4 linked regions of the Drosophila melanogaster genome follow. The protein of the gene in region 3 interacts with the protein of the main gene of each other region in a pairwise test. Each region holds a gene or a part of one and is shown on either strand. Other genes may lie near its edges.

Region 1 (10,158 bases), on a different chromosome or scaffold from region 3:
AGGCATGGAGCGATGACATGGGGTTCGGTCTAACGAGGAGGATGGACGGCAGGTGTCACAGCGACGGGCGCACTCTCTTCATCCATCCGCTTGGGCCGCACCACTCGACGCGGGGAATCCGGATCCCGGCCAGAACTTCAAACGCTTGCCGCGCACTTCGTTTATTTACACAAGAAACAAGTTTATGCCCGAGAAGAACCATTCGCAGGCACTTAGCAGGCGCTCGCGTTTATTATCTTAATAATAATTTCAGAGTTCAGGCGGCGCTCTTTGACGCACAACTAGGGATTCCTGCTCGCATGAGAATGGGATTTGGATCGGTATCTCTGGGTCCCGACCAACTGCACCGTGCGAACCGGAGGCGGCAACTAAGCGAATCGAGAATCTGTTGGCACTCGCGCTTCCCAAGAGCCAAGTGCACGCCAAGCGATTTGTTTATCCATCTGCTGCGTACGCGCGAATTTGTTCGTTATTAATTGCAATAAATGGTGTCGGCGTGGGCGCTTTTATTTATTTCTGTTTTTTGTTTTTGGTCGGTATGAAATGTTTGTTTCTAATTTTCGCGTAACCGAAATATTTGAATAATTCAGCGCCCTCTGGTGGCGGGTAGCGTTTGATGGCGATGGTTGTGGTTACGCATTTCAATGCTTTTCAGCACTGGTAATTTAAACAACTCAATTTGAAATCTACAAATATTCAAACCTTTCTTTTTCAATATTGCCTTTTGAGCCACAATATTTAGTAAGTTTATTTATTTACAGATATTTTCATGCTTACACTTATGTAATAACCCTTCTTCGTAATACTTTTGCAGCTAATCTACAACATTCTAATTTCAGTTAATGACCTGACAAGGTGCCACATCCTCGATCTCCTCGCCATCGAGGGCTTTGATTTGGCACTGGCACAGGAACTGCACGATCTTACGCTCGGCACTTGCCCGCTCAGACGGACTCAGTCCGTCCAGCAGCATCTGAGCCTTGGCAAGCAGGCTGTTGGCAGGCTGTGTACTTCGCTGTTCTCGCTCCTGCTCCTGTTCGTGGTGAATCTGGGCCTGCAGCTCCCGGGATTGCTGAAGCACGGTCTCCATGTTGGCAATCACGGTGGTCAACAGTTTGTCGGAGATGGCGGCAGACGGTACAGAGTCCCCAGGGAGAGAGGAGGACTCCTCTACGACGGGATTTACCCTGGCGATTGTGTGAATTATTTCCTCACTGGTGGCCGGCGTGGTGGTGGTCACCTGGAGCTGCTGTGGTGGCTCCAAGTCCTGCCGTGCCGTCGCTTCGCTGAGGATAAAATCGTACGGCGTTGCTTGCTCCGCCTCCGATAGTATCTCAATCTCTTCATCGTAGGCCAACTCAAGATCATCCTCCAGATCGTCGTTGTCCGTACTGTAGGGGTAATCAGCGCCCCAGATTTGCTCACCACTGGAGATCACCATTCCCTCCGGCTGTTTGCTGGTCTTTCCCGAAGGATTTCCTGCTTTGGGTGGTCGTCCACGTCGCTTGATGTTCTCCAAAACCAGGGGCACTCCTTTGCGGAAGTGGCGGCCCAGAAAGAGAAGGTCGTTAAAGTACCTCCACGTGATGGGCGTGGACTGGTTGATCTGATGACTGCGGAACTCCCGCCCGAAACGATCACGCAGCTTCTTCCAGCGGTTGTAGCAAAGTTCCTCTATTGAAAATTATCGGCATTAAGGGCTGAAGATCAAGAGGGTTACCCCGAGCTCACCCGACACATTTAGGTTTTCAGAAATCTCTCGCCAGGCTTCGTTTTTCGCTGCTAGGTTCTTGGAGACTCTGATCTTGTGACGATCATACAGCACGGGATGAGACTTGACCAGCTCAATGAGCTGCTCGTTCAGCAGGTCATCCTGGGAGTCCTCCTCCTCCTCGTCCTTTCTCCGCCTCTCCTGCTCCATGTCCACTTTTGTGCGCTTTTTCCGCTCCCTGGGCTCAAAACGCATCCCGTCGAGACTCTCGTTCCTTGCCAGTCCCTGTTTGTAGTGATCCTTGAGAAAGAGCAGTCGCGGAAACATGTCCCAGTAGGTGGGCTCATCCGGACGCTCCTGGAAACGGCGAAACTCCTTGCCGAAACGATCGCGAATGCTCTTCCAGCGCGTAATGCACGCCCGTTCCGAGGCTCCTAACTTCTGGGAGATGGCCTTCCAGGCCGCGTCCTTTTGCGCCGCATTCTTCACGCTCCTCGCGCAGTCCTTGTCGTACAGGATCGGGTGTCTCTCTATCAATTTAATCAGCTCATCGTCGTCCATTGATTTTCGCTATTATTTGTTTTTATTTATTCTGAACGATCCGGCAGCCTGGCGGGAAATATTGATAGTCGATAGGCGATGGGTCATCGCACAAAAAGGGCTGCCAGATTATTCTGTTAAAAAAATGTGCCTCTTAGTTTTATAGCACCGTTATTATAACAATGTTAAATAAAATATTTGTGTGTTTGTCTTAAAATGTCTTAATACATATTTATAATTTAAAGTTCGTGTGTACGAATTTCGTTTAAAATATATTCTATTTTATATATTTTAAAGAAAATTCTCTTTATGTTTGTTAAAATCTGCTGGTTTGAATTTCTGTGTAACCTGATAACATTGATGGTCGATAGCTCGATACTTCAATCTTTCCATCGGTGAGTTTGCCCCATCTCTATTGTGCTACCTGGCAACGCTGTGAGCAAGGAAAATACGGCAGCGTGCTCCCCGTTTTCCATCCACGTTTTGTTATAATTTTATAAGTATTACGGTCTGAGACCGATTTTGCACTGCATCGTGCGCGCTGCAAGTACTGGCGATTGGAAATTGGAGGCGCGAAAAGAGGATAAGGTGGATTTTCTTGCAACTGTGTGTGTGAGCATTGGAATTCGCCCGTGTGTGTGGCGAGAGTGCGTCCATGTGTGTGTGACGGACCAAAAAAGCCGACATCAGCGCCCATTTTTTGTTGTTGATTCATTAATACGCCCGTCATGCACCAGTATTGGTGAGTTGGAGCAGCGCACCGTCTTACTCGCACTCAACGGAGCGCAGAAAGAGCGCAGGGAGCGGCAGAAGAAGAAGCAGCGAGCAGCAGCACCATTAGCGGCAGTCAACGTCATATAATTTGTCATCGAAATTGGCACACTAAAAATAACAGTTAACTTCAACCGCCATGATCCTGCTGGAAATCAATAATCGGATTATCGAGGAGACGCTGCTGGTCAAATACCGTAATGCCCAGGCTGGGTAAGTCAATGCCTTCCAGTCCCGTTTCCCCAATTTCCATTCCACCATTTTGATTTCTATGCTGCATTCCCCACCGTTCTGTTATCACCAGTCGGCTTTGTTATCAATTTCGTTAGCTCTCTCTTTCCTCGGGAATAAATTTGGGTGTAGTTCCAGCCTTGGAACACTCATCGCTGCAGCTCTCTCCCTCCCACACACGTACCCAAGTACAGTGCAGCCCCCTTACGTCGACAGCGTATTAGTTAATTCATTACAACTCGCTATTCGCATCATCGGTGCTGAAAATCTGCAAAACTGACTCATCCATTGACGTGCATTCAAACGCATACGCTTGTGATGATCGAAAATATTAGTATTTATTTGTTCCTAATCCCGAAAAAGGATATTATTATTGAAGAAACATTATCAAAGGAGTCGTGTTACGAAAGAAATATGTTTAAGCTAAACGGTTTAGAAGAAGCTTAGACGAAGCTTACAGACTAACAAAATTATTAAAATTAGTAAAATAACTTATTGTACTAACAGCACTATCAGCAGAAAGAGGTATTTGTGTTTGGTAGCGAATGATTAAGATCTCACATAAATAAATGTATTTAAATGCTAATAGTTATGATGCCATTAGTTTATTCCCGATAAGATTGCAGTGTAATGCCTGAAATTAAGGCAATAAAAGTTATAAATTGTGGAACAAAAGTGGCATACTTGGAAAAAATCTCCTGTTGTGTCTCAAATGTTCCAAAATAAACCAAAAGGACGAACGGCATCCTGAATAATCAATCATATTATAGCAGATGACTTGTGTTCGTGTACATAAAAACTAATAGTTTCAATATTACTCCCCTATTATCTGTATTCTTGGGAGACAAAGTTTACATGCTAAAGATTCTCCATTTTCCGTGTCTACAACGCTCCGATATAAATTGTAACGCTTAAATCATCTTGAGTAATTCTTTTTGTTTCTTAAGATAAATACTTTCGTGTACATTATTGCAAATTTTAGGCTTTGGAGCCAAAGTGGCATTCTTCAAAAACAATATTTGATCTGTGTCTCAAAAGCTCCAACATTAACTAGAAAGACGAACGGCATCCTGAATAATCAATCATATTATAACAGATGACTTGTGTTCGTGTACATTTGCCATAAAATGTTCAACTTTTGTAATATTCTGGAGTCAAAGTGGCACGTCTTACGATCTTCCTGTAACTTGTGTCTCAAATGCTCCAATATCAAACGAAAGGACGAACGGCATCCTGAATAATCAATCATATTATAGCAGATGACTTGTGTTCGACTACAATAGTATTCGATTTATTAGACCAATAATGCCTCGGGAGACAAAGTTTACATGTTGAAGATGATGTGGCTTCTTTTTCGTGTCTACAATGCTCCAAAATAAATTGTTCGTTTAAATCGTCTTATTCGATTTATTTTATTGCCTAAGATGGTTGCCAACTGCACAACAACTAATTAAATATTTGGGTGGAGTTAAAGTGGCATATTTTATAGCTTTCCTTTGATCTGTGTCTCTATCGCTCCAATATCAATTTTATAAGCGAACGGCATCCTGTTTAATTACTTATATTAAGACAGACGACTTGTGTTCGTGCACAACTTCAAAATGCTTCAATAGTCATATGGAGAAAAAGTTTACATGCTAAAGTATTTTTCTTTTCCGTGTCTACAATGCTCCAATATTAATTGAACGTCTAAATCATCTTGGATATAATTATATTTCCATAGATAAATACATTCGTTCACAATACATTCGTTGTTCATATGAAAATGGATTGGAGTCAAAGTGGCACACTTAATCCATTTTTATTTGTGTCTCAAATGCTCCAATATCAAATGCAAAGGCGAACGGCATCCTGAATAATTATGCATATTATAACAGATGACTTGTGTTCGCCTACAATAGCTCCTGATAGCTTTACATTCCTTTATAAGACTCCCGTCTTCGGAGACAAAGTTTACATGCTAAGGATAAGATCTTTTTCGTGTCTACAATGCTCCAAGAGCAAATGTTCGTTTAAATCATCCTTGGCATTCAATATTTTTGCTGTGGATGCATTTAATTCGTGCACATATTTATAGATATGTATGTCGTGGAGGTAAAGTGGCATTCTCGGGATATATAAACCTGCCTGTGTCTCAAACACTCCCAAATCAACTTGGTTGGCGAACGGCATCCTGAGTAATTAATAATATTACATCAGATGACTTGAGTTCGCGCACAATCGCTTTAAGATCGCAAAGTACGATTTAGGAGCCAAAGTGGCATGCCTTGGAACTTTTATCCAATTTGTGTCTCTAATGCTCCGATACTAATTATACAAACGAACGGCATCCTGTTTGATCCTACATATCACAATAGATGACTTGAGTTCGTGTACATTATTCAGAAATATTTGTTTAGTTCTTGTAATTGAATTAAACTAAATTTAGATATCGGCTTAGCGATCCAGATACAAATACATACGGATGTTTTAATTTATTCGAAAACGCAAAATATAATTTTATTGCTGCTGGTTTCTTTTGGAAAAATAATCGGGTATAAACGAGTTTATGTGATAAGATACGGTGGAGTGTGGGGAGCATGACTAATAAGCAAGAAAATAAATGAGAATTTACTTTTTAATTCTCTTTCCAGACTGAAGCCTGAATCGATAGACATACGAATAGCAGACTTCGACGGCGTCCTTTATCACATTTCCAATGTGAATGGCGATAAAACAAAAGTTCGGGTAAGTGTACCGCGTACTATTCATTTAGGATAAATCCAACATTAACGATTTCTCACTTTTCTTGGGCTGCGAAACAGATCAGCATATCGCTGAAGTTCTACAAACAGCTGCAAGAACATGGAGCCGACGAGTTGCTGAAGCGTGAATATGGCAGTCTGCTTACAGACACGGAAGAAGGTACGTTCGTGTTTAAGTTCGGCATTTAAAGAAGTTAATTACTCTCGTCTAATTGCAGGCTACAATGTTTCCGTACTTATCAACCTGGAGGAGATTCCCGAGGACTGCGAGCAAATCGCAAAGAGAATCGGACTGCTGAAGCGCAACTGTTTCGCATCGGTTTTTGAAAAGTATTTTGACTATCAGGAGCAGGGCGAAGAGGGCCAAAAGCGTGCCGTCATTAACTACCGCAACGATGAGACTTTGTAAGTCAGAAAAATATGTTTTTGACTCGTCCAAGCGCTGACAATCTACAATCGATTTGCAGATATGTGGAAGCCAAGCCTGATCGTGTCACCGTCGTCTTTAGTACCATTTTCCGGGACGAAGACGATGTCATTATCGGCAAAGTATTTATGCAGGAATTGAGGGAAGGTCGGCGTGCCTCGCACACCGCACCACAAGTGCTCTTTTCGCACCGAGAACCACCATTGGAATTGGCCAACACGGACGCTAGGGTGGGCGACAACATTGGCTATGTCACATTCGGTATGTTAAAGGTTGAATGGTAAACCATGTGCTGTGGAGCCAAAGTTTACACGTTAAAGTGCATTTGTCTTTTCCATGTCTACAAGGCTCCATATAAATAGTATCGTTAAAATCATCTTGAACATTCTAGTTTATAAATATATCCAATGATAAATACTTCCGCGCACAATAATGCATTAAAGTCACCTGTGGAGTCAAAGTGGCATGTTTTAAATTACAATTTGAATTGTGTCTCAAATGCTCCAATATCAACAAGATATGCGAACGGCATCCTGAATAATCAATCATATTATAGCAGATGACTTGTGTTTGTGTACAGTAACACACCAACCCAGAATCCCCAAGCTGAATTGTTCAGTGGAGACAAAGTTTACATTTTAACAGTATTATCGTTTTTATGTCTACAATGCTCCGAAATCAATATCCGATCCAATTATCCAAAGCAGTCTTATATTTCCTTGGATGATTTCTTTCGTTACAAAAATGTCAGTATATTCCATATGGAGTTAAAGTGGCATATTTTTAATACTTACCCTAAATCTGTGTCTCTAAAGCTCCAATATTAAATAAATAGACAATCGGCATCCTGAATAATCAATCATATTATAGCAGATGACTTGTGTTTGTGTACAGTAAAAGAATATCTTAGACTGCCTTTTTTAAATGGAGACAAAGTTTACATGTTAACAATATTATCGTTTTCGTGTCTACAATGCTCCAAAATCAATATATTCGATCGAATCATCCGAAGCAGTCTTATATTTCCTTGGATGATTTCTTTGGTGCACAGTGCACAGCTAATGTAATCCCAATGGAGTTAAAGTGGCATATTTTGTATACCTTCCTTCAATTTGTGTCTCTAATGCTCCAATATTAAATAAGTAGACGAACGGCATCCTGAATAATCAATCATATTATCGCAGATGACTTGTGTTTGTGTACAGTACTTCTTAGAATTGAACCGATGTTACACTTTGAAATATCCAAAAGAAACAAAATAGTAACGACTCATACTTGTTTTTTGCAGTACTCTTCCCTCGGCATACCAACAAAGAAACAAGGGACAATACCATTAACTTAATTCACATGTTCCGAGATTACTTGCACTACCACATTAAGGTAAGTGTTGTATGCAGCTATGCAAAAATATCTTTTATATATTTGAAATATGCATTTTTGAGCAGTGTTCAAAGGCTTACATTCATTCGCGCATGCGAGCAAAAACCTCGGATTTCCTCAAGGTGCTAAATCGTGCAAGGCCAGAGCCCAAAAACACGGAGAAGAAAACTATAACGTGAGCATTGGACTTTCCATAACGAATTCTGATTACTAACTCGTGTTCTTTTTGCAGGGGGAGAACTTTCAAGCGCATCGATTGATGTGTTCAGTATATTTAGTTGTTTTTATATAAATACAAAAAATAAATTGTGTATTAAAATTCGATATCCGAATGGTGAATCCAACATAAACTAAACCAGATTGCAAGACAAACCCAAGTATTCCAAACAGAACCGTAAGGCTAAATGTAAGCTCAGCAAAATAATGATCAAAGAATTAATAGTTACGCGTTAGTAAATGAATTGTGTGTGTTTGTGTCGAGTCATCGTCAAATCCGTGTCTCCGCCAATTTGTTACAGTCATAGGCCGAGTCAGCGCCACAGCTGAGCCGCATTTTAAACAAATAAACGTAGACTTAAGTGCAACATGAGAACTAAAACTACCATGTCAAAGCGAGCAACACGACTAAGGGATGCCACCAACTTGTTATATAGTCGCAATGGAGGATTCATCCCCGCAATTAGCCTGTATGTGTAGAAAGCGCATTTAAAAACGTACTGCAAATATTAACAAACCTTTGATACAGCAATCGGAATTAATAAAAACGAGAAAATCAAACTGCAATGTAAAATAAAAAAAGGGACACTCTTTTAATCTCTAGCTAGCTGCAGACGCTCGAATACACTTTATTTTCTAGCTTATTAGCTTTTAATTGCACATAATGTCTTAAATGTTACTAATATTTCGCTTAGGTATACCATCTCCGCTGCACAATACTATAACAGGCACTTAGATCTTAAACTTAACATTCTGCTTCGCGTTCATGCTCTCCATGCTGACCTGGAAGTTGAGATAGTCGCTCTGGATGCGGGCACACACTGAAAGAAATGTGTTGGGTAAACTAAGTTGGGACTGAGGAGCGCTTTGACTGTTACTATTGAGATGTGCTACTTACTTACAGTGGCAGTGTTCATTGCGATAGAGAGTTTACTGCTTAAGTACTTCCGATAGTTTGTACAGGGTGCGGGTGAATTTACAGAGCCCCTAGGGATCATCGTACTGTTCCAATTTGATATAAGCAAGTGCTGTGATAGAGAAGCGGCAGGGCGAGATGGATAGAATAAGTGAGTAAATCGCTTAACACTGGGAAAAATTCGTTCCAAGCATGCGAAGAGTTCTCATAAATTTGGAACAAGTCCAAAACTCAAGAAGATACTGACTTGAAATGCAATTTTGATTATTATTCTATTAGAAGAAGATAACTGAGAGTGAATATTTTGAATTTGAAATATTTTAAAATAACGTAACAATATTAAAAAACCATTTCAGTCGAAATTAAATTGATTACTGGTGGGATAACTGAAGATCAAAGTTTTGTATCGCAAGCTACTACTTTTCCGTTTATGTTATTTTAAGCCCCTTTTTATAAATTTGCTATCAAGATTGGAAAACAGAAGTGCTTTTCGTCCAATTGTGGTTCGGAACTTATCTTAAATGGTTGTAATGCCATAAAATACTACAATTAACAAGTTATTTAGACACCTAATTATTCAGCTGACTAGCATCTCTCTATAAGAAATCCCTTCACATTCAAAAACTTCAGAAAGAATTTTTCTCAGTGTGAGGTAACTAGCGTGCGACAAGAGGAGTCAGCTGGAGGAGTCGTTTATCATTTTGTATATATACAAATGCGTGAACTCGTGTGGGAGGTGGGTGGTGGATGGGCGGGATAGTGAGGATGGGTAGGAGGAGCTCCAGACAGGAAAAGGGCTTGGCTCGCATTAGGGTGACAGCGAAAGTGGGGCAGTTGGTACACAGGTTTTCTACGCGATGTGTATGTATGAGCGGGGGTAATGAGATGGCGGAGCCACTTTCTCACCCTTCTGCAGGTCCATGTCGTCCATTTCGGAGTTCTTGATCTGCTGCAGCTTCTCGCGGAACTTCTTTGTGATCTGCTTGCGCTGGTAGTCCGCCTCGATTTCCTGCTTGGTGCGCGGTATACGGAAGCGAATGCAGCAGCATACCATAATCACTGCGGCAATGATTCGATTAAACTGTGTCCAGACCGAAGCTACAGCTATGATGTACTCACTTATTAGGAGGAGGACACCCAGAACGGCGGCGATAATGTGCCACACTCGGAAGCCCGCTATGACCACACTTTCCAGCCACATTTCATCGAAGATATCCGAATC
Region 2 (5,808 bases), 3.3 Mb from region 3:
CTGGAACTCATCGCTGGCGACATCGAATCTAGTTATTCACGAGACGCGTCTAATCAATTGCAGATGATTCATTTCGAGAGCCGAACCCCATTCATCTCCCCAACCTTGATATGCATATGTAACTCAATTGGTGCTATTTTCATGGACTGCGCTGTAGAGTAGGCAATAGTAATTGAATCGCACTCTGAAGACAAACTGAAAGTATCCTGATAGAGAGTTGCATTATCTGCAGTGGAGCAATAATAGACAAGGTGTATATTATTTACCATTATTTAAGTATTTAGGTCAAGGTCGCTTGGAGCTTGGGGATACGATCCATTATGGGGGTGGTGGTCACCGCTTGAGCGAGGGACTTGACTTTGTCGTTTGGCCAGTCGCACAATGCACATGGATGGATAATCGTGTGAAGTATTCTTGGTCTTGGCTGATGGTAATATGCAATTATGCAAAGTGCAAGTTCAGCGGAAAAGGCCATGGTTTTGTTTTGCTTTGTTGTGGATTTGTTGTCGCCACACCATTGTCTCCAGGTCTGAGATTAGCTAAGGTAGCCACCCAGATGCAGCCCACTTCGACCCACTGCCACCCCAAAGTTCCCATCATCATCATCATCGTCGTCATCATAGTCAGCATCATCATAATTTTCAGCTTCATTTGCTCGATGTACCTTGCTTGCGGTTTTTTTTTTTTTAAAGCTGCATTTGGATCGCTTTAGTTTTCAGTTTTTCTGCTTTCAGTTAACCAAGCCGCTCTGTTCAATTATAATTAAATCTGTTTGTAAATATAATTGGTGGGCGTGCGACTGGCATGAATGATGCAAGATTGCTGCCACCGTCGAGCGTGATTTGCTTTTGCAAATTAGAACAACGAATCATGGCAACGCCCCGGGGAAAATGTTACCTGTCTAATCTGGGATTTGGTTCTTCCCTTCGAATGCACTGCGAAAAACAGGTGCGTATACTTCAATGGAAAAGATACAACATGAACTGAGTGATATACAAAGATAGAAAAACTCTTGAATACAATAATGGATTAGAATGGTCTTAAAATTCTGAGATGAAATATGCAACTTAAATGATATTTGAAAAAATCACTATACTAGTTTTGCTCCACATTTTTTTATGCTTTTAACTGGCTCTATCTCAACTGACAAAGTTCTAAATCTGATTTTTGCACCGTGCTTGCTTTTCCTTGATTACTCATACGCCCCGTGTGCGCGGGTTGGCCAAGAAATGGAGGCTACCACTTACCGCGAGATTCACGGGCTGCCCGTGTAATGGGCTTTTAGGCCTCGGCATTAAAGAACCATTGTCTCAGTGGGGTAAGAGCACAAGAAAAGAAAAAAAAAAACGAGAAACTCCCAGGCCATCGCCAAAGTGCACCCATGGCCAAGTCAACTCATAGCAGTCGGCAGTAGCTTCGGTTGCCTCCCTCCATCCATCCCTCCATCTATCCATCCATCCCTCCAACCATCTATCCATCCATACAGTCAGTCGAATCAGTTAACACTTTTCACATGCCCGCCGGGTCGAACAATGTGAACCCACTCATATGGGCGGTATGACAAGCGTATGTATATACTATGTGGCTATCCACAAGCATGGCATCGACAACTATTTTGACATATTTCGTAAATATCCGTGGATAAGTATCGCAATGCTATTGGCACACGTAACTTCAACTGCACAGATACAAGCTACAGTTTTGCAGTTTTGGAAAATGGCAAACGGATATAGATCGTTATGTTCTTAAATGCTACTTTATTATTCAAACACTTGCTAAAGTTATTATTAAAGTTATTTGAAACATCTGAGTACTTTTTAGTTTCTTGTACTAAACTCTATAGATTAAATGTACTTAAATGTGGAATACCCCTGAATTTATGCTAAAACTATCGCCCAGATTGGTAGAACCTAATTCAGTCCATTCAACCCAATCGAAGTTACGACTCCAATCCGTTAGGTTTTTTAGAAAATGTGTCAGCAATGTTGGTTGGAATGGGGATACTTAGCTTAGGCACTTGGCCAAAAAGCCTCTAAGAAATTAACAATTGCCACCTTTGTTGGCGAAATTCAAGCATTCAGATCCGCCTGGCTCTTCTTCTCTGCGATGTTTTGTTAACAATTTCAGTTGGCTTAAATAAGCGCTGGAAAGTGAAAACCCAATTCGATACTGTTGTTCATGAAATGAGTCACGTACTAGCCGCAATATTTATCTATCTAACTAAATCGTTTCAACTGGACTCGCATGATTGCTGTTACGTTTTTTTTTTAAACTTTGTTTTCAAAGCTGCAATCGTTGGGCATTTTCGCGTTTTATGTTGACCAATTAGCTGTTTCAGGGTCAAGTTAATGATTCAATTAGCATTTGTCATCATTGTTATTGCTTCTCCTGAGCGGCGGCGGTATAATTGATCCCCCAGATCGTGGGAATATTCATAATGATGTGTGATCACACATCAACACGCCCAACCAGCTTTTCATAAGTAGATCATTCGAAAGGTATTGTTTTCTTCAAGAAAAGAGTTAAGATTATAAATATGTATTTAATATACAATATTAGCAATCTAAGTTGATCCAGAGTTGTTCCATAAATGGGTTAAGTAGAGCTCATCTGATTCTGGAAACTATCTAATCCAGGATATAAATTCAATCTAATATGTTTGATGATTAAGCCAAGACCCATCAGCATACACGTTGTCCAGTGGCATGCGTCATACATACATAGGTGGCAAGCAAGGCGACACGAATCTCTGGGATGCAACAGTTGCGTCCAACTTCGCGGCTCGAGTTCGCTGGGATTGGAAGTGGGCTCGGCGGGTATAAAAGCGACTGCCGGCCCGGTGGGGAATCATTAGACAAGTGTCGAACGGCGCGTGCGCATCATAGTCTTGAAGGAGCAGTTAGCCACCAGAAAGCAGTGAACACCACAAACCGGCAGCCACAACATGAAGTGCTTTGTAAGGACTCGCCAAAGGATCTCTCGTGGATTATAATTTCCCAAAAACTAGAAAATGATTTAAAAAACACAGTTCGTTAAAGTGAATAATAAGTTTTGAAAGCATTGTATTCCAAATGCTTGATGTTCATTGTTAAATTATAAAGTGTATTTAAATTTTAGTTTAAAGTTGATACATATTTTTTACATTTTTTTTATTACATTTTTGAATATGTTTTATGTTGCTTTTGAGAATTTGTTAAACAAAATACTATTGTTAAAAAGTACTTTTCACTTTATTGAAATATGTTTTAAGTGGTAATCTTTTGAATATGATACATTTTGGTGACGCTTTATCCTCGCGCAGTTTATCCTGATAGCAACCAGTCTGGTGCTGAGTGCCTATGCCCAGGACGCGGCGGATTCTGACCTGGAGCAGGTGGCATCCGCATCGGCACCGGATGCGGTGGCCGTGGAGGATCAGGTGAGCGCCGCCAGCAGCTATGCCCCGCTGCAGGATAAGAAGCAGGAGAAGCGCTATGTTGGTGGATACGGTGGCTACGGAGCGGGCTACGGCGCGGGATACGGCGGCTATGGCGCCGGATATGGCGCAGGATACGGCGGCTATGCCTCTGGCCTGGGAGCCGGCTATGGAGGAGCGTACGGCAGTGGCGTCGGCGTTGGCGTGGACAGCTACTACAATCCGTACAGCTCGCGAGCTCTGGGTGGATTAGGTGAGGGTGAGCTTGAAAGAAGACTCTCAATCTCTTGCCGAAGACTCGTAGTATACCAACGCTGTTTCTCAATCCCCAGATGGTGCTGCAGTGGCCGGATACGGAGGCTATGGATCCACTCTGGGCGGCTATGGATCCGCTTTGGGTGGCTATGGATCCGCTCTTGGTGGCTATGGATCGGGACTTAGTGGTTATGGTGGCTCCTACAACTCGAATCCATACGCCCTGTCATACTACAACAGCAGGCTGGGCGCTGGAGCCGGCACTGGGTATCCGTACTACAACACCCGATTCGGCGCTGGTGGCTATCCATCCAGTTACTATACGAGCAACTATGGCAACAGCGTGGTGGGCGGCGGCTTGGGCGCTTTGGGCGGAGTGCCGCCCATCGGATCGGGCTATAACTACGGTTCCGGAATCTCGGGAACCGTCTACTAGACACCGCACGGTCCAACGTTCAAGATCTAAGCTAGTGGAATTTATTTTTTTTCATCGATATATTTTTTTCTAACTTTATTTTTATTAAAAGATGCTACAAAAAAATACATTATCATAATCGTCATTTAACTAGAAAGTATATATTTATATATGCATGTAATCTCATTGGGGCGATGGATATGCGCCATGCTTGTCCTTGATCACCCAGAAGGAGTCGACAATGGCGCCGTTCTGGTCATCGGACACCTGCTCGAAGTGAAGATGCGTGCCATTATGTGCCTTCAAGCGGGTGTATCCGTAATCCTAAAGAGATTATAGAATTATAGTATTCCGTTTTGATATTAAGCAGGTCATTCAATTACATTGCTATGGTAGGCATTCCAGATGGGCAAATCGTTGGAGAAGGGCTCGCGCTCCTCCTTGCAGCCGGCGGAACCCGTGATGATCTGGATGGGCGCCTTGGGATTAGTGTATGGCGCCTCGGCACTGCCATTGTACACCTTGTAGTCGTAGATTGGCCACAGGCGAGTGTAGAAGTGTTCATGCGCAAAGATCTCCACGTCGACGCCGTGCTTGTAGAACAGATCCTCCAGGCCGAACCACTTGAGCATGGGCAGACCCTGGCGAATGTACGTCTCCAGTTGGCTATTGCAATCGTACTCCTTGTCGTCGCTGCAGTACATCGGTCGATGACCGTAGGTGATGATCCACGGACGTTTGGCCCGATTCTCGGGCAGATTGGCCTCGGCCAGGTCACGTTCCAGCCACTCGAATTGCTTGGTCAGCAACTTGAAGCCATAGCTGAGGAAGTAGTAGACCTCCGTGGAGAAGGAGACAAAGTGCACGGGTCCCAAGTTGAAGCTGTACCACAAGCTGTCCGTTTCGCCGGGCATATTGAAGCGGGCGCGATAGTTGGAGAAGTTGCTGTGATGGGCCAAAGTAAGTTAGGTTTGAATAGTTAACACACCGGCATCATCAAATACTTACTACTTCTCCTCGTGATTGCCCGGACAAACCATGTAGGGCACATAGGCAGCCACCGACTCGATCTGGCGCATGAATGCATCACCCACGGCAGCGTTGGAGGTGTCCATGTCGTAGGCAAAGTCACCCACATGGATGATGGCATCGTACATGCCTCGCTCAGTGTCCTGCTGTAGTCGGCCCATCGACTGGGCATTCTCGTTGCCCATGTCACCGAAAATGGCCAACGAGGGCGACCACTTCTCACCCGCCGGTGGCGTCTTGAAATTGAACACCGCCGACCAACCGAGCGGACTGCCGCAGCTGTACTCGTACCGCGTGTCCGGCTCCAGATCCTTCAGTTCCACATTGTGTATGTACTGAGTGCGAGCCTTCTTTCCACCATCGACGAATCGCTGCCAGGTGCCGTTCACCATTATCGGCTCGTCTTTTAGATAGTTCCGCGAGAATTTAACCACCGAGGCGTTGGGGGAACTTCGAGTCGACCATGTCACCACAATATCACGAAGATTGTCTACAACAAAGTTCATTAGCTGGGATTATTCTCACTTTTAAAGACCCAATTTATATTTAAAACCATCTCGTTTTAAAAACAGTTTCCCCTCGAATTTCGTACTTAAGACTATAGAATCAGTAGGCCACAATCATTGCCACTCATACATAGTTGTTTTATTTGAGCGTATAACTGTAATTACATTTCATTAAAATATATATGTTT
Region 3 (6,147 bases):
CACAAAAAAGTGAACAAAAACGCGCAGAAATGTGACAAATTGAAAACAAGTTAAGGTTCGAGTCCACAAAGGAAAATGTCAAGTTGAGGGCCTCTGACAACCGCGGGCACAGTCTGCCTTAATTATGACTAATTGCTGTGCGAACAGCCTCTATATATCCAAAAGCTATAGCTCACGATCGTGATGAATATTCAGCTGAGTTCGACTTTAGCGAAAATTGCAACAAAGCTGCTGAATTGATTTGGATTAGCCACTTTCGATTTGCATATACGACAAACGGAAGGGCTTGAGCTTGAGTGAAAGATAGAAAAACTCAGATGTATAAGATATAATATACATGTTCTAGTTACAATCTATATCTAAATAAGTAAGCAAATTGCAAAAAAGTTTGTTAAAAAGTGATATATTGCCTGAAGAGCAATACTGCTTTAATAAAATACTTTAAAATTAGTTCATTATTTTATATATTGTTTTACTTTATAAGGTTATTTTACTTGAAAGTGTAGTAAAACACTAAATACAAATGAATGTTAAGCAACCAGAAGTAAATAGCAGCACTAAACCGCCCAACTGATGTAAGTTGATAAACCACTTGATGTAAGTATATGAACCAACTAATGTAAGTTGATGAAGCGTGTCATAAAAGGTGACAAAAGCTCTCCCAAAAGACAAAAAGACATTTTTTACCATTTGGCAAAGCCATAAAAAAGTTGTTATAAAGACTTTTAATGTATTTACTGTATAACAACAACACAATCAAAAGCCACATATAAATAATTCAGTGGAGACATCAAAAAAAAAAAAAAAAGATGAATAAAAAATCAATTCGGGCTAGTTGAAGTCTATAGACTTTTGAAACCAAACATGGGAGTTGAATAAGTCTGGTTTTAAACTATGGAAAAATCCCCTTTTCGATAACCATCTTAAGTTCACGAAAAGAAGTTCATTATCATAAATGTATGTATGTTCTTTAGGGGAAACTCTTTGACGTCAGAAACTAGTTTGGCAAATTAAAAAAAAAAAAAAAAATATCGCGAAGCTAAAATTAACTCAGAAGGTTCTTTGAATTTCGCTGAAATTAACTTAAATCGATTAAGTTTGCCCTTTAGGTGGGCAGCTTCTTTCTCTACCTCTTTTCTGTGACGTCAATTCAAAATTTATACATGTAAGACAATCATTTGAATTTATTCGTTTTTAAGTTGGATTTATTTTAGAATATGAAATGATAAACATAAATCCATTTTTAATGATCCATTGTTGTTGCATGATAAACTATTACTGCTTTTAAGTTGTGGATGTTTTTTTTTTTAATTCTTGTACCATTTTGTTTAAACTTAATTCCATCCAGAAACATATCAGAGTTCAATAAACCTTGATGGTGAATGTGCATAATTATCGTAGGACTTCGGTTTTAGTCCACACCCAAACCACTAATCGTGTTTTTTATTTCAGCCTTTAATCGCCTTGTATTGACTTTTGAAGACAACATAGTTTATGAACACATATGTGTCTGGCCAGGGTATGCATAAAACATAGGTCTGTCTATATATATGTATCAATCACGACGATAGATTGTCTCGTTTATGGTTATCAGTCAGTTTTGGCAAAGATTTCGATTAGCATAGAGACAATCGTTTTGTCTGTCCGCATCTTTATGGCCAGCAGATCAAATAAATGAATAAAAACAAAGGCACAAAAAATACAAGAAAAAAAAAAAACAAAATATGGATCATAATTTATGGCGAACATGTTTGATGAACTCCCCAATTTGGGGCTTCGAAAGCCATCGCATTACTTGGCCCTCTTGTAGACATAGCCGCCATTGGATGCGTAAACCGTATCCGCCACACTCTTGGGATCGTCGGCCGATGGTGGTGCCACTACTGTCCTCTCACTGTCCTTTGGTTGCTCCTTCGCCGGCTCATCGGAGTAGCCCGGCGGAGCGGGTCCTCCGAAACCGGGTCCAAATTGTTGGTAGGGATTCTGGCCGGGCACAGGTCCGCCGAATCCTGCGGGCACATTGAATCCTGCTGGACTGGGTCCTTGGAAGGGACCCTGGGGATTTGTGAGGGGAAGTCCCTGGTTTGTCAAGAACTCCGGTGGATATGCGGATCCTGGGAAGGGCCCTCCCTGTGGCGGGAAGTTACCTCCTAGGAAACCATTGCCCGGTATTCCCTGTGGCCCGAAGGCACCTCCTTGTGATGGGAACACTCCCTGCTGTGGTGAGAAGGGAGCTCCTTGCGTTGGGAATCCATTGCCAGGGATGCCTTGTGGCTGGAAGCCAGCTCCTTGTGGGGGAAACCCACCTGCCTGCGGGAAACCACCTGGCTGGGCAAAATTACCAGCTTGCGGACCGAAAGGACCACCTGGTGGCAGTTGGAAGGCCGCATTCGTAGGACCCCCTGCGAATGCGCCTCCATTGGTAGGACCCGCCGGGAATGCACCTCCGTTGGGATAGGCCGAAGGCACTGGCCCAATACCATGTCCTCCTCCCTGCTCGACAGGACCTCCGCCGAAGCCGTAGAATGGTGGATAGATGGGCAGAGGGAAGTTTGGCGGCTGGACAGGCTGTGGCAAAACGTTGCTGCCCGTGGGAATGGCATAGCCCGGCGGCAGTGGCAGTCCAGTCGATGGATAGAATCCAGATGGATCCTTCTGCACCTCCTGGCCATCAGCAGCAGACCGTGTGGTTGGCTCCAGTTCCGCACTGGGCGGTATATATTCCCTGGGCAGGTGACTCACATCTCCGTTGATCAGGGGCAGAAGTAGGACCACAACGGCCCATGGCTGCATCATCTCGAGCTCCGGTTTGATCTCTGGGAACTTGCACGGCGACGGTGGCTATGCGGCCACGGGCCCCAAATCCGCCATATATAAGACGGCATATCAACATATTACATAAATTCGCGGCCGGCTCATTTCACTTTCGCATTCGGCGAACGGAAATTGCTTTGCATCATCACAAAGGTTCCATAAATAATCGCCAATCCAAAGGTGATCGAAGGTGCGAGGGGAGGTGCCAAAACTGAACTATAAAATTTAATTTAGCGGCCGGATTTTACATAAATAAACTAACGCCGAAATCGAATGTTAAATTCAGCATCGCACAAAGAAAAGAGGCGATAATGAAAAAGATTCAATAAACGAAAAGAAAGAACAATGAAAGGGTAACATTTTATTTGATTTAGATTCAAGTTCTTGCTCAGCTTTATGATGAATATTAAATTTTAAAAATTACTACCTGAAAGCAAAAGGGTGTTAATTAAAAACAGGAAAAACGTCGAGGAGGTTCGTTTTATTTACTGTAATATACTAAATAATGGTTTTGAATGATTTCAAAAAGTCTTGAGTAAATAATTTTTCAGAAATGCCAAGCACTCTCAGAAAATGTATCTGCAAGTCATAGTTTTGAAATACTCAAAAGCTTAGTGTTAAAACTAGGAAAACCATAAAGTTTCATGCTATATTTAAACTAAAAGCTCTTTGAAAATGCTTAAAATAGTCGCAGCTTCCAAGTTTAATCAAAGCTGCAAGCTGTTTATAAAAAGCCCAACTTAATTAAAGCTTTATATTATATTTTTTAACGCTAATACTTAGTTAAAACATTGATGTATGTTAAATGTTTATGTTCTTGTCCTACAGGTTTTAGTGTTAACTAGTCGAAGAATTAAGCTTTTTAATTTTGAAAATTACCATTATAGACTAATGCCAATAAATCTTCTTTACTTTGTATGGACATATCATTCGTATACTTTATTATATTTTTATTGGCTTATAAAGTGCCACCTTTTGTCTACTCTGAAGTATTAAGCACCAACAAGCACTTGCTTTTGACGTTCGATTTTGAAAACGAACCGCACTCAAACCGCATCAAAACCGCAACAAAACCGCACCTAAACCGCAACCAAACCGCACTCAAGTCGCGCGTGGTTTTTAGTACGCTATTTTGGTATCCTGGTCCGGAATTTTGATATAAAGTGAATAGGGATACACTTGTTAAAAATTTTATTAATATTAATATTAGACGCTTGTTTTTATAACTCTGAAACCCATTTTAAAAACAAAAGTATTTATTTGGATTATTGATGTTTCGGTTTATTTCGTTGTAAACAAAAGTTTACAAAACAAAAAAAAAAAATATATGGTTAATTTGGGCAGTATGTAGTTATGGACACTGTTTCGTGTTCAGTTGCAGGCCTCTTCGTTGAAGATCCCTACTTCCTGTAGACGTAGCCACCGTTGGAGGCGTACTGGGTGCCCACATCCACGGAGGGTGCAGAGTAGCTCACCGATGGGGCGGAGTAGCTGACGGCAGGAGCGGAGTACGACTGCTGGACAGCAGGGGCGGAGTAGCTGACCGATGGAGCGGAGTACGACTGCTGGACAGCAGGGGCGGAGTAGCTGACCGATGGAGCGGAGTACGACTGCTGGACAGCAGGAGCGGAGTAGCTGACCGATGGAGCCGAGTAGCTCACAGAGGGTGCCGAGTAGCTAACAGAGGGGGCGGAGTAGGTCCTCTGGACAGCTGGTGCGGAGTAGGTCCTCTGGACGGCCGGTGCGGAGTAGGTCTGCACAGGAGGCAGGTACTCGTTGCTGGGGGCGACATACGACTGCTGGATGGCTGGAGCGGCGTAGGTCTGCTGCACGGCTGGTGCGGAGTAGCTCACCGAGGGAGCGGCGTACGAGCTCTGGACGGGGGGCAGGTACTCGTTGCTCAGGTGGCTAACATCGGCGGCCACGCAGGCGAACAGGGCGAAGGCAATAAGGAATTTCTGCAAGTAGGACAACACACTTCACACATTACAAACACAGCAAATTTTTTAAGCACCGCAAAAAAAAAAAAAATTTTGTCAAATAATATTGTTAAATCGATGTATCCTTGTTTCAAGCTGAACTTGTAATCCTTCACTGACCATCTTGAGTTGAGGTTTCTGCGTTTTCAAGCGACTGTGCTGGATGAGCTAGAGGCTGCGACTGATGCCGGTCCCTACCAGCCGCCAGTCAATTTATAGCTGCCGGCCGTCTTCGAAGAAAAGCCCCGGTTTTGGAGAGCCCGTTCCAACTGCAGCGGTGGCACACCGGCACTAACGGCAGACGCCGGGCAAGAAGAAGAGCAGGCTTAAGCGGCCAGCGGACCAAGAAGAAGCCGCCGCAAAAGACGTCACCATGAAATCAAGACAAACAAACGGCTGACTGGTGCTGAGGGGCTGAGGGGACATAGCCACATAAGTTGGCAGCTAATTGTGAAAACTGTTAAAAAGTTTAAGTATTTTCAATTAAGAATATGCTTCACTTATAATTGTTTATGTACACCAGACCGTTTGCAATGTTCAATTAAGTAGTAGTGGTAGCACAATGCAAAATAAGTAATAATATAAAAGATTTAGATACTAACATTTGAGCTAATCACCTATTTACAACTTAAAACTGCCGACTTGTTAAATATTTACTTACTTCTTAAAAACTGAGTTTTGAAAAAAAAATGGTAACTTGAAACGTTAACTAGCATAGATCATTGGCAGAGCTTACTTAGTTAGATGGTTTTGGCAATAAAATGGCTAAAATGGCAACACTAATCAGGGCGGAGGTTAAAAAGCATATATAGGGAGGGGGCTGGCTAAACTACCAAACGGAAAATCACATTAAAATTAAATTCAACATAAAAATCGAACGAAATCGCACATGCAAACGGGTTTGGCTCATTTACGATATTATATTTTTTTCCATCCACGCAACGGGTTTGCGGCGGGTGAACTACTTTGGGACACCTTTTTGTGGTCTCTTCAATCTGGCTTATTAGCGTCGGACTCAAGGGGAATGGAGGGAGGGAGGGGGGGGGGGGGGGTTTGTGCCGCACAAAGCCCAAAAAAAAGGGGGAAAAAAACTAAGGGGGTTCCACTAATTAACATTCAATTTAACACATTATACACCGGAGCAACCATTTTTCTTGTTTCAACCGCAGAAATGGGCCGGCGCACAAAAAGAGATCCATTTGGCCTCGTTCGAGACACTCGCCCAGATTGATGGCCCCCACAGAACGTCGTGTTTCGAAAAACGGAGCCCCACTCGCACTTTCTAAAAACCCATAAACACACAAAACCCATCAGTGGAGACCGACAGAAGATGGCCTTGAGAACAGACGCCGGC
Region 4 (7,549 bases), on a different chromosome or scaffold from region 3:
CCATCGTACCATCCCGTGTGATTCTGGCCCTTCCAATACTTAATTTCACCCATCTCCTTGATGTCACCCACTCCGGTGTGTACAGTGAAGGGACCCTCGAAGTCCTTCGATCCGTTACGGTTGAGGAACCAGGCAAAGTGATCCGACTCGATTTTTGGGACCAATGGATTATTCAGGGTCATGGCGTAATGCAAAAATTCGTCGTAGAAACTTTCGAACAGCCATTCAGCTGCCGTGTGGGTCACAAAGAGATGTCCACCATTCGCATTTAGGGCCTCGTTGAACATGAATTTCAGGAAGACGTTGCTATTCCGCATTTGGTTTGAAGCAGCCTGCAAAAAGTGAAAAAGGAAAACTTCTTTTAGACCAAATTGTTTTTTAATAACTGCTTATTTCCTACCAATGAAGGTAAATGTGGGGCGGTAATTAAATCCGTTTGCTTGCCGCCAGAGAGCTCCTCTTCCCAGAACCAAGTTCTTCTGGGGTTAAAGGTAACTGTGCCATTGTCGTGCCACTCAAGATCCATCTTCTTCCTCTCCTCTCGATAAACATAGGGTCCAAGTTGCGCGAAAATAGGTTTTACTCCATTAGCCTGCACATCTGCGGCATTTGTCCAGTTCCAAAGATACATGTAGACATACACCGGAATGGGCAGCTCCTCCCATTTTTCAAAAGTCTTTGAAGTGGGTGTCAACGGCAAGGCCTTTTTAATAAATCGATTAGTACTCCTCCTTAATTTTATTTTTATACACCGCCTCTCACCTTCATAATCCCTGAGTCTATAAAGCCAGGCCAGCATATTATGGCCAGGAGTCCGGAGACCGCGAAAAAGGTTCCCAGGCCGAAGACCCAGGCCTTTTGTTGGGTCACCCCACAGCAGCTGCAGCACATATTGAGAGACGAAACAAAGGCTTTCGAGCGACTGCAAAGTGGAAAAATATCGCTCGAGTTTTTATTCATGCGTCGCTTAGTAGATTATCCACTAGTAAATAAAGCAGCGGCTAATCATCATGTCTACTGTGGTAATCAGCTCGGTTTGGTTTGCTCAACTTATTCTGTGGGGTGATTGGGATCTAAGTGTGTGTTTAGAGTACCAAAAATCCTGATAAATGCAAAACGCTGCACTTAGTTTATTGAGAGTGCTGGCTAATCAGCCAGACTAGCAGTAGTAGCTATTTCATGCTGCCACGTACCAAATACCACTTGGTAACTAAATCAAATTTAACGATACATGGTACAATTTTATTTATAATAGTATATAAAAGTAATTAGGTACATTTTTATTTTAGGAATTAAGTTTCGTTTATCAGTTCTTAAGTTTTTAATAGCATGCCAGAGTGCTTCCTAATTCGCATTATAAATTAACTTGAAGCTAGTTGATTAAACTATTAATACGGTCAACTATTTTTGCCTTGACGCTCGCCCATCTTATCGGTTATATAGCATGTATGCTTAAATTAGTATTTGCAATGCAATTTTTATGGTCAGCCACTATAAAAGATCACTTCCAAAGACGGCAATCTAATCTTCCTTAATGAAATTCGATTAATCCCATTACGCAAAACCATTTTAAACTCATTACCCACCTGGTCTGCCGAAATGTTGGCAGCGTGATTGATCAGTATTTCAACCCTGACTATTGGAAAATTTTGATTAGAGTGGCGTTATCGTTAATATTGGGTGCTTATTAAAAGTGGGACTGCAAACATTCACAAATTAAATGGATGCGTTTGAAGTGTGTTCGCTTAAATTTTACGATTTCAAAGTCCAGCAAGAAGCTCACCATATTATATCAATTATTGTCCATTTTCCTTACTCGAATTCAGTTCAGTAAACTTCCTCCAGCATAGTGGCCAAGTATTAATTAGGCTGCTCCTCGGCTTTTCAGAGTAGCAATAATTGGAATTACTAAGCCACAAATGCAAGACCCACTATTAGTAATTGAATAGATTGCACTGGCTTCTGTTGATTTCCCCATTGCACTTCAATGTACATAATCAGCAGACATTGCAAGATATCAAATACTACGAAATGCCTTCGTAAGCACATTATTAAATATTTAGTGCGCATTCCATACAAACTTTCAATGCTGGAGCCTTTTCAAATACACCGTGCTAAATTCAATAGAATACTCCAAAATACATACATAAACTCTGTTCATATTTAATTGTTAGTTGAGTTATAAATATAATACACATACACACATACAATATATGGATATTGGATTTGCTATATAGGAAAAGTACGACGACTGCAGTTCAGAACATTTCAGCAACATCAGCATTTTTTAGGATCTACAAAAATCGGTTTGACTTGTAGAAATACGCCATTTTTTTCGTTGGTTGAGGTAGCCCTTTCAGTTTAGGCCTCAATGGAGCCCTCGGCTTCCAGTTGGGCCTTGCGACTTGGCTGTAAATAATTGATTGCCTTTCAATAACTATTCAAATATTTGGGCACACCTTTTATTACCTTCGGGTGCATCAGAATAAATGGTAGCTCAGCGCAGAGCTCGCCGCCCAGGGCTCCCAAGAAAAGCTTGACCTTCACAGCATATGAAACAATTATGCCAAAGGCATCCCTCGCATCCTGACTGGCAATACTGAAATAGAATTTTAAATATGCATTTTTCACTTAGTATTAGTATGCGTTTTATGCCATTTTGTAAACACATTTAGCTAAAGAACTGTTAGTCACCGGGAAAATACGATTTTTAAAAAGGTTCCTAACTTTAAAATTTGATTGATTTTATGGTATGATTTTAAGTTGATACTTAATAGAGTATAATATTAATGTTTCATCTGCTAAGCTATGATGTGAATAAATTTTACTCACAGTGTGGTCGAGGCCAGAGCTGTGTCTTTGCGCTTGATATCACCCTCAACGGCGATGCCTGCGCGGTCGCAATTGGCCACCAGGGTGGGCACCAGATACATGACCTTCTGCAGGCTGGATCCCGGGTTCAGGGGACATCCCTCGCTCGTCTCCATGAAGGCGATCGTGTTGCGGAACTGACCGTTCTGGAACAGGACCACATCGACGCCCTGCTGCACCATGGCCTTGATCTTCTTCACCACCTTGTTGGAGTTGTTGCGCACGCAGATGTTCACCGAGATCTTCTCGCCGTGATGGTACAGCTGCTTGTCGAGGGTGACCTCCAGTTCGAGCTCTCCGGGCGACAGAAGGAAGTCCTTGCGAACGACGGTGCAGGGCTGGATGCCCTGCTTGGTCGGTGCGTACTGCACCTTGCGGATGCCCAGGTTAATGGTGCTCCTGCGATGCGATCGATCGCAGTCGCTGTCTCCGGTAAAGATCTTTACGAAGTACTGGACTCCGCAGGGCTGGCTCTCGTCACTGGCCTTCTGCTGGAGAACCACCGAGGCCGGCGAGCTTGGTGGCATCTGCATCACGAAGGGATAGGCATTGGAGCCAAGCTTCTTCAGCAGACGCTCCTGCATCTTGGTCAACTGGATGTCCTGCTTCTGGGGTGGGCACACCTGCTGCGAGACCAGGGTCAGTTCCTTCTGGAACCGCAGACCGATCATCTCGTCGTCCTCGCGCCCATATCGGAAATTGCAGACCAACTGCACGAAGATCTTGCGGTTCTGGCGCACGTACTCATCGTCCAGCACAATGATTCCATCTGCAAGAGGACGCTTATTAATTGGAGAATATTATTTACAAGCGCCCAGCCTCTTGGTTTGCTTGCTCGCGTAATCGATGAACTTGGTTAGCTGCTAGCGCAGCCAATTTAACTTAACTCCCTGGGCTATTGAATTCAGATGCAATTTTGAATAACTCCCTGAGTTTATATTTGCTGGTCGGCATATGCAGATTCGAAATGGAGTTTTTATAATATAATTTTGATTTGATATCACTTTTCAAGGAAGGTATTAAAAATTCCAATGTGTTAAGTTGAAACAAAAGTTACACTGAAGTTATTTTCAAACTATAAGATACTTCAATCGAATATGGGTACCAATTCCTACACGAATTTATTTTTTGATGGATTTCCTCATTCGTAAATCCCATTGCTCAAGGGTTTCGGTCTGTGACACCTACCAATGGGTTCCACCTGAGTCACGGAATCTACAAAATCACGCCTGTTCATGTAGAGCGTGATCATGTTGTTCGGGGAACACTTCTTGAACACCTTGAAATTGACCACCATTTTGGAGCTGTTTATCAAAATCTCTGCGGAAATAGTTTAAACTTTGGATGTGCCTTTAACGTTTCGCGCTCGTTCTCGATGGTATACGCCGCGTTGCGTGGTCCACTAGGCTATTAATTAGCGCTCTTTGGCAATCCGGCATTTATACCTGGCATTGTGGCACCTGTCGCCCCTCTAAATTCAATTAGCCGCACAGCAGAAATTCAGCAATTGCACGGCGGTAAACTACTACGGCTTCGGCAACCTTGCTGTGCGCAGTGTCTTTGATATTGACATTGCAGCACGACATCGACATCGATGGCTCAAACATTAAATAACGCGCGAGCAACACGGCGTATTAGCAATGCAGGACAGGTGAATGTACAGAAATAGCTCGAGAAATCGATTTAGTATGCGTATTTTGGTTTGTTGTTTTCCGCCTAGGATGACGTATTTAAACCCAAACATTACGTGGTGGGTTTTGTTCTTTTCCATTTACGTAATTGTTGTTAATTTAATTGAGCCCTAAGCACTCGTCGGCTAAGTACTGATAAGCGGTTGTTTATTATGACATTTATAATAGCTTTATGTTAACTGGAGACAACTACTAGTTATAACAACGAGGTACTTAATAAATTCCAAGTATTCCAAGTATTTGCTTCGGAATTTTCAAAATAATTGGTGAAGGATCCCATTTCAAGCTAGATGTAATAATATTCTTCTTTGAATTATATTAAACATTTAAATCAATTTTTCCCAACGAATCTAGACGTTATGTGTATATATATAATGACACATAAGAACTTAAGCTTTACCAGTAACTGTCAGTTGAAGGACCTGCACATTCAATTATGTAAAAATATTCTATGCAAAGCTGCTGGCCCTCTCACCATTTGCCATTTCCATTTTGTGCTATGAAATCACATTAGCATAAAGTAGGCTACTTAACAAAGTCAATGAACGTAATAATTATACTCCTGACATTAAAAATATGAACAAAGTTGTGTGAAATATATTGTTCTTTATTGTGTGGTTGGGGACCGGACAGTCGAGCAAGTGGGGCGGAGTTTTCCACCAACTACATCCCCCCTTTTCGTGTGTGAAAATGTGGCGGGAAAGTGCGGGAAAGTGTCGGCGGACAGTCGCCAAGGGTCCAACAAAACCGACAATGAGGCCCTTAATAATAGCAAAACTTTTGCACTCACGACGTGTGGGCCAGTAGGAAAACGGCGCTGGTTATGGGCATGTCTCTCATTTAAATACATTACAAGTGAACTTTCCGGGAGGCATGGCCACGGTGTTGTCCTGAAAAATGGCAATATGTTACTAAATGAGGTGTTCTTAAGATTCTGTTAGAAAAGCGTTCAGAGTTTTTACATTCAATCCGTCTATAGGTCTAAACTCATATCAGAAATATGAGCACTTGTCTTAAAAGAGGACATTTTTTCTAGAAATACAATGCAAAGCTATATTATTGAGTGCATGGCTGACCTTCTAAGGACTTCTTTAAAGTGCAACGCGTTTAAAGCAAAAACTATTTAAGCTTTGTTTTTATCACACGGATACTTTGAAAACCCATCACCATCTCAAATTCATATGTGGTCTGTTGAACCATCCTTTATATGGCAGATTATAGCAATACAATAAAATTGCAAACGACCACAAAAGGTTGACTTTATTATTTGTGCGCAATTGAGCTAGCTGTGGGTGGTATTGACCCATTTTCGAGAGTACCTCTTCAGACTTCTACAATTTCCGGATTCCCCTTAAAGCAGGAGCGATTTAAAAAGCCACGGAAGCAGTTTGCCACCATTCTTCTCTTTCAGTCCACTCGAGAGCTAATTTGGGCAATTCAATTGCCTAACCAAGGCGAGACAAAGTCGACGGCCAAATTGCATTGCACAATCAGCGCGATTGCCATGGACCAAACTGCGGAGTTTGGCCAAGAGCCCAGAACAGGCACCGAATGCAGTGCAATTGTCGTTTGGCAAAATCGACGGCCAACTGGAGCCAGACTTTTGGCCACAATCAGACTGCAAAGAAAAACGATAAGCTTAAAACTGTACCTCTATAAAATAGGTTAAAAAACAGTTTTATTTTTTAAGTCATGAAAATTTTACCTTAGTTTAATATATTAATATTATATTATATTAACAAGATAAATATCTTTTATTTATAATTGTCTTTTATTGTTGTTATTTACCTTTAAAGAAGTATGCTATATCAGAAAAAAAGTTTAGTTTAGCATACTTTTGCGCTTCCAATTGAATAGGAATATTTAAAAACAGATAAAACACAGATAACATGCATTCTACCAGCCATTTAAAAACAAAGACTTTTTTACTGTGTCGCATTTTAAAACGAGAAGGCGAGCCAACAACTTCAGGTGGTAACTTGGCCCGAAACACCTTGATGCATGGCCGACATCTGCCATTGAAACGTGCGCTCGGGTAGCCACAAAGTTTTAGGCCAAATATCGGTGGGCCGCGAGTGGTGGGCGACTCATCAACCCGATCAGGGCCAATAGCACGGAAAATTGTAGCGAAACCGAAATTGTTGTCTTATGAAAAGTAAAAGCAAACAGAATTGGCGCCCAGCCTTGGCGCGAGTTGCTGCCATTTCCAGTTACCATTAGCCAGAGGAAGGACATGTCGCACCCTCTGCCCGGGCGTACAAAAAGTGTAGGAAAAACTGGAGAAATACACAGGTCCTGTGCTGCATGAACGGACTTGGCAGCGATGTCGTCGCCGTCTGACGATGTGCAAACTGGCGAAGTGACAGCAAATGGCGCGGAAACAGTGTGTGCGCCAACGTCAACTAATCGTGGGTGAACGAATTTTCGTATATACCGCCATGTCCATGTATATATATAACCATGAAGTCTGAAGATTTCGATGCCTGGCATCGCGGACAGGTAGCCGTTGTTGTTGACGCCAGTCGATTGCAGGTGCACTGCCTGCGGGGTTTCAGGACGGCGCACCCTGATTGATTTGACATCTGCATCGGCGATGTGTTTATAGTTATAGTTACTTCGCTAAACAGTTGTATTTAATTGAGTGAGAACTAGGTTCATAGACAGGTAAACTGTTTTGACCAACAACCCATTAAAATATATCAATATCTCAAGATGTCTTCACCTTAAAGAGCATGTAAAATGTATAAAGAAATGAATATTATAAGAAATGATATACAGCAAACATGATTCTATAAAGAAACCCAATGAATACCACAAAGAAACGATCAAGCAAAAAGGAATAATATTAGGATATTCGATGGACACTAGATTTTAAGTACAAGCCTCTTGTGTATTTGTATTTTCTGTCGAAGAATAGGTAATATGTATAACAAATAACAAAGACGCTAAGTAGAAATAAGCCGCACCAATTTGGGAATACCAAAACC

The links.
Region 1: the proteins of CG11581 (region 3) and Arpc2 interact in a two-hybrid assay, tested with the Drosophila melanogaster proteins (one large-scale study listed by BioGRID).
Region 2: the proteins of CG11581 (region 3) and CG2157 interact in a two-hybrid assay, tested with the Drosophila melanogaster proteins (one large-scale study listed by BioGRID).
Region 4: the proteins of CG11581 (region 3) and Arr1 interact in a two-hybrid assay, tested with the Drosophila melanogaster proteins (one large-scale study listed by BioGRID).

The regions. Positions count from the first base shown.
Region 1 is NT_033779.5:20,414,433-20,424,590, forward strand, and holds Arpc2 (Actin-related protein 2/3 complex, subunit 2), read left to right. Parts: upstream 1-2,624; 5' UTR 2,625-3,161; coding exon 3,162-3,235; intron 3,236-3,915; exon of another isoform or gene 3,916-4,049; intron 4,050-4,090; exon of another isoform or gene 4,091-4,222; intron 4,223-4,237; exon of another isoform or gene 4,238-4,372; intron 4,373-4,401; exon of another isoform or gene 4,402-4,535; intron 4,536-4,564; exon of another isoform or gene 4,565-4,701; intron 4,702-4,712; exon of another isoform or gene 4,713-4,849; intron 4,850-4,870; exon of another isoform or gene 4,871-4,998; intron 4,999-5,023; exon of another isoform or gene 5,024-5,153; intron 5,154-5,193; exon of another isoform or gene 5,194-5,324; intron 5,325-5,341; exon of another isoform or gene 5,342-5,476; intron 5,477-5,499; exon of another isoform or gene 5,500-5,633; intron 5,634-5,886; coding exon 5,887-5,980; intron 5,981-6,057; coding exon 6,058-6,157; intron 6,158-6,215; coding exon 6,216-6,402; intron 6,403-6,464; coding exon 6,465-6,685; intron 6,686-6,718; exon of another isoform or gene 6,719-6,842; intron 6,843-6,871; exon of another isoform or gene 6,872-7,006; intron 7,007-7,042; exon of another isoform or gene 7,043-7,168; intron 7,169-7,184; and 13 more. Other genes in the region: CG10949 (uncharacterized protein), read right to left, coding at 836-1,674, 1,732-2,272; CG15130 (uncharacterized protein), read right to left, coding at 8,753-8,841, 9,843-9,995, 10,056-10,158. UniProt on the Drosophila melanogaster protein: Functions as actin-binding component of the Arp2/3 complex which is involved in regulation of actin polymerization and together with an activating nucleation-promoting factor (NPF) mediates the formation of branched actin networks.
Region 2 is NC_004354.4:10,866,436-10,872,243, forward strand, and holds CG2157 (uncharacterized protein), read left to right. Parts: upstream 1-2,848; 5' UTR 2,849-2,944; coding exon 2,945-2,956; intron 2,957-3,301; coding exon 3,302-3,674; intron 3,675-3,747; coding exon 3,748-4,106; 3' UTR 4,107-4,268; downstream 4,269-5,808.
Region 3 is NC_004354.4:14,173,596-14,179,742, reverse strand, and holds CG11581 (uncharacterized protein), read right to left. Parts: upstream 2,821-6,147; 5' UTR 2,797-2,820; coding exon 1,792-2,796; 3' UTR 1,287-1,791; downstream 1-1,286. Other genes in the region: CG1368 (uncharacterized protein), read right to left, coding at 4,215-4,772, 4,914-4,916.
Region 4 is NT_033779.5:18,075,007-18,082,555, reverse strand, and holds Arr1 (arrestin 1), read right to left. Parts: upstream 4,288-7,549; 5' UTR 4,169-4,287; coding exon 4,060-4,168; intron 3,908-4,059; exon of another isoform or gene 3,826-3,907; coding exon of another isoform or gene 3,759-3,825; intron 3,641-3,758; coding exon 2,833-3,640; intron 2,600-2,832; coding exon 2,470-2,599; intron 2,410-2,469; coding exon 2,362-2,409; 3' UTR 1,249-2,361; downstream 1-1,248. Other genes in the region: ninaD (neither inactivation nor afterpotential D), read right to left, coding at 1-332, 401-703, 763-891. UniProt on the Drosophila melanogaster protein: Regulates photoreceptor cell deactivation. Arr1 and Arr2 proteins are mediators of rhodopsin inactivation and are essential for the termination of the phototransduction cascade.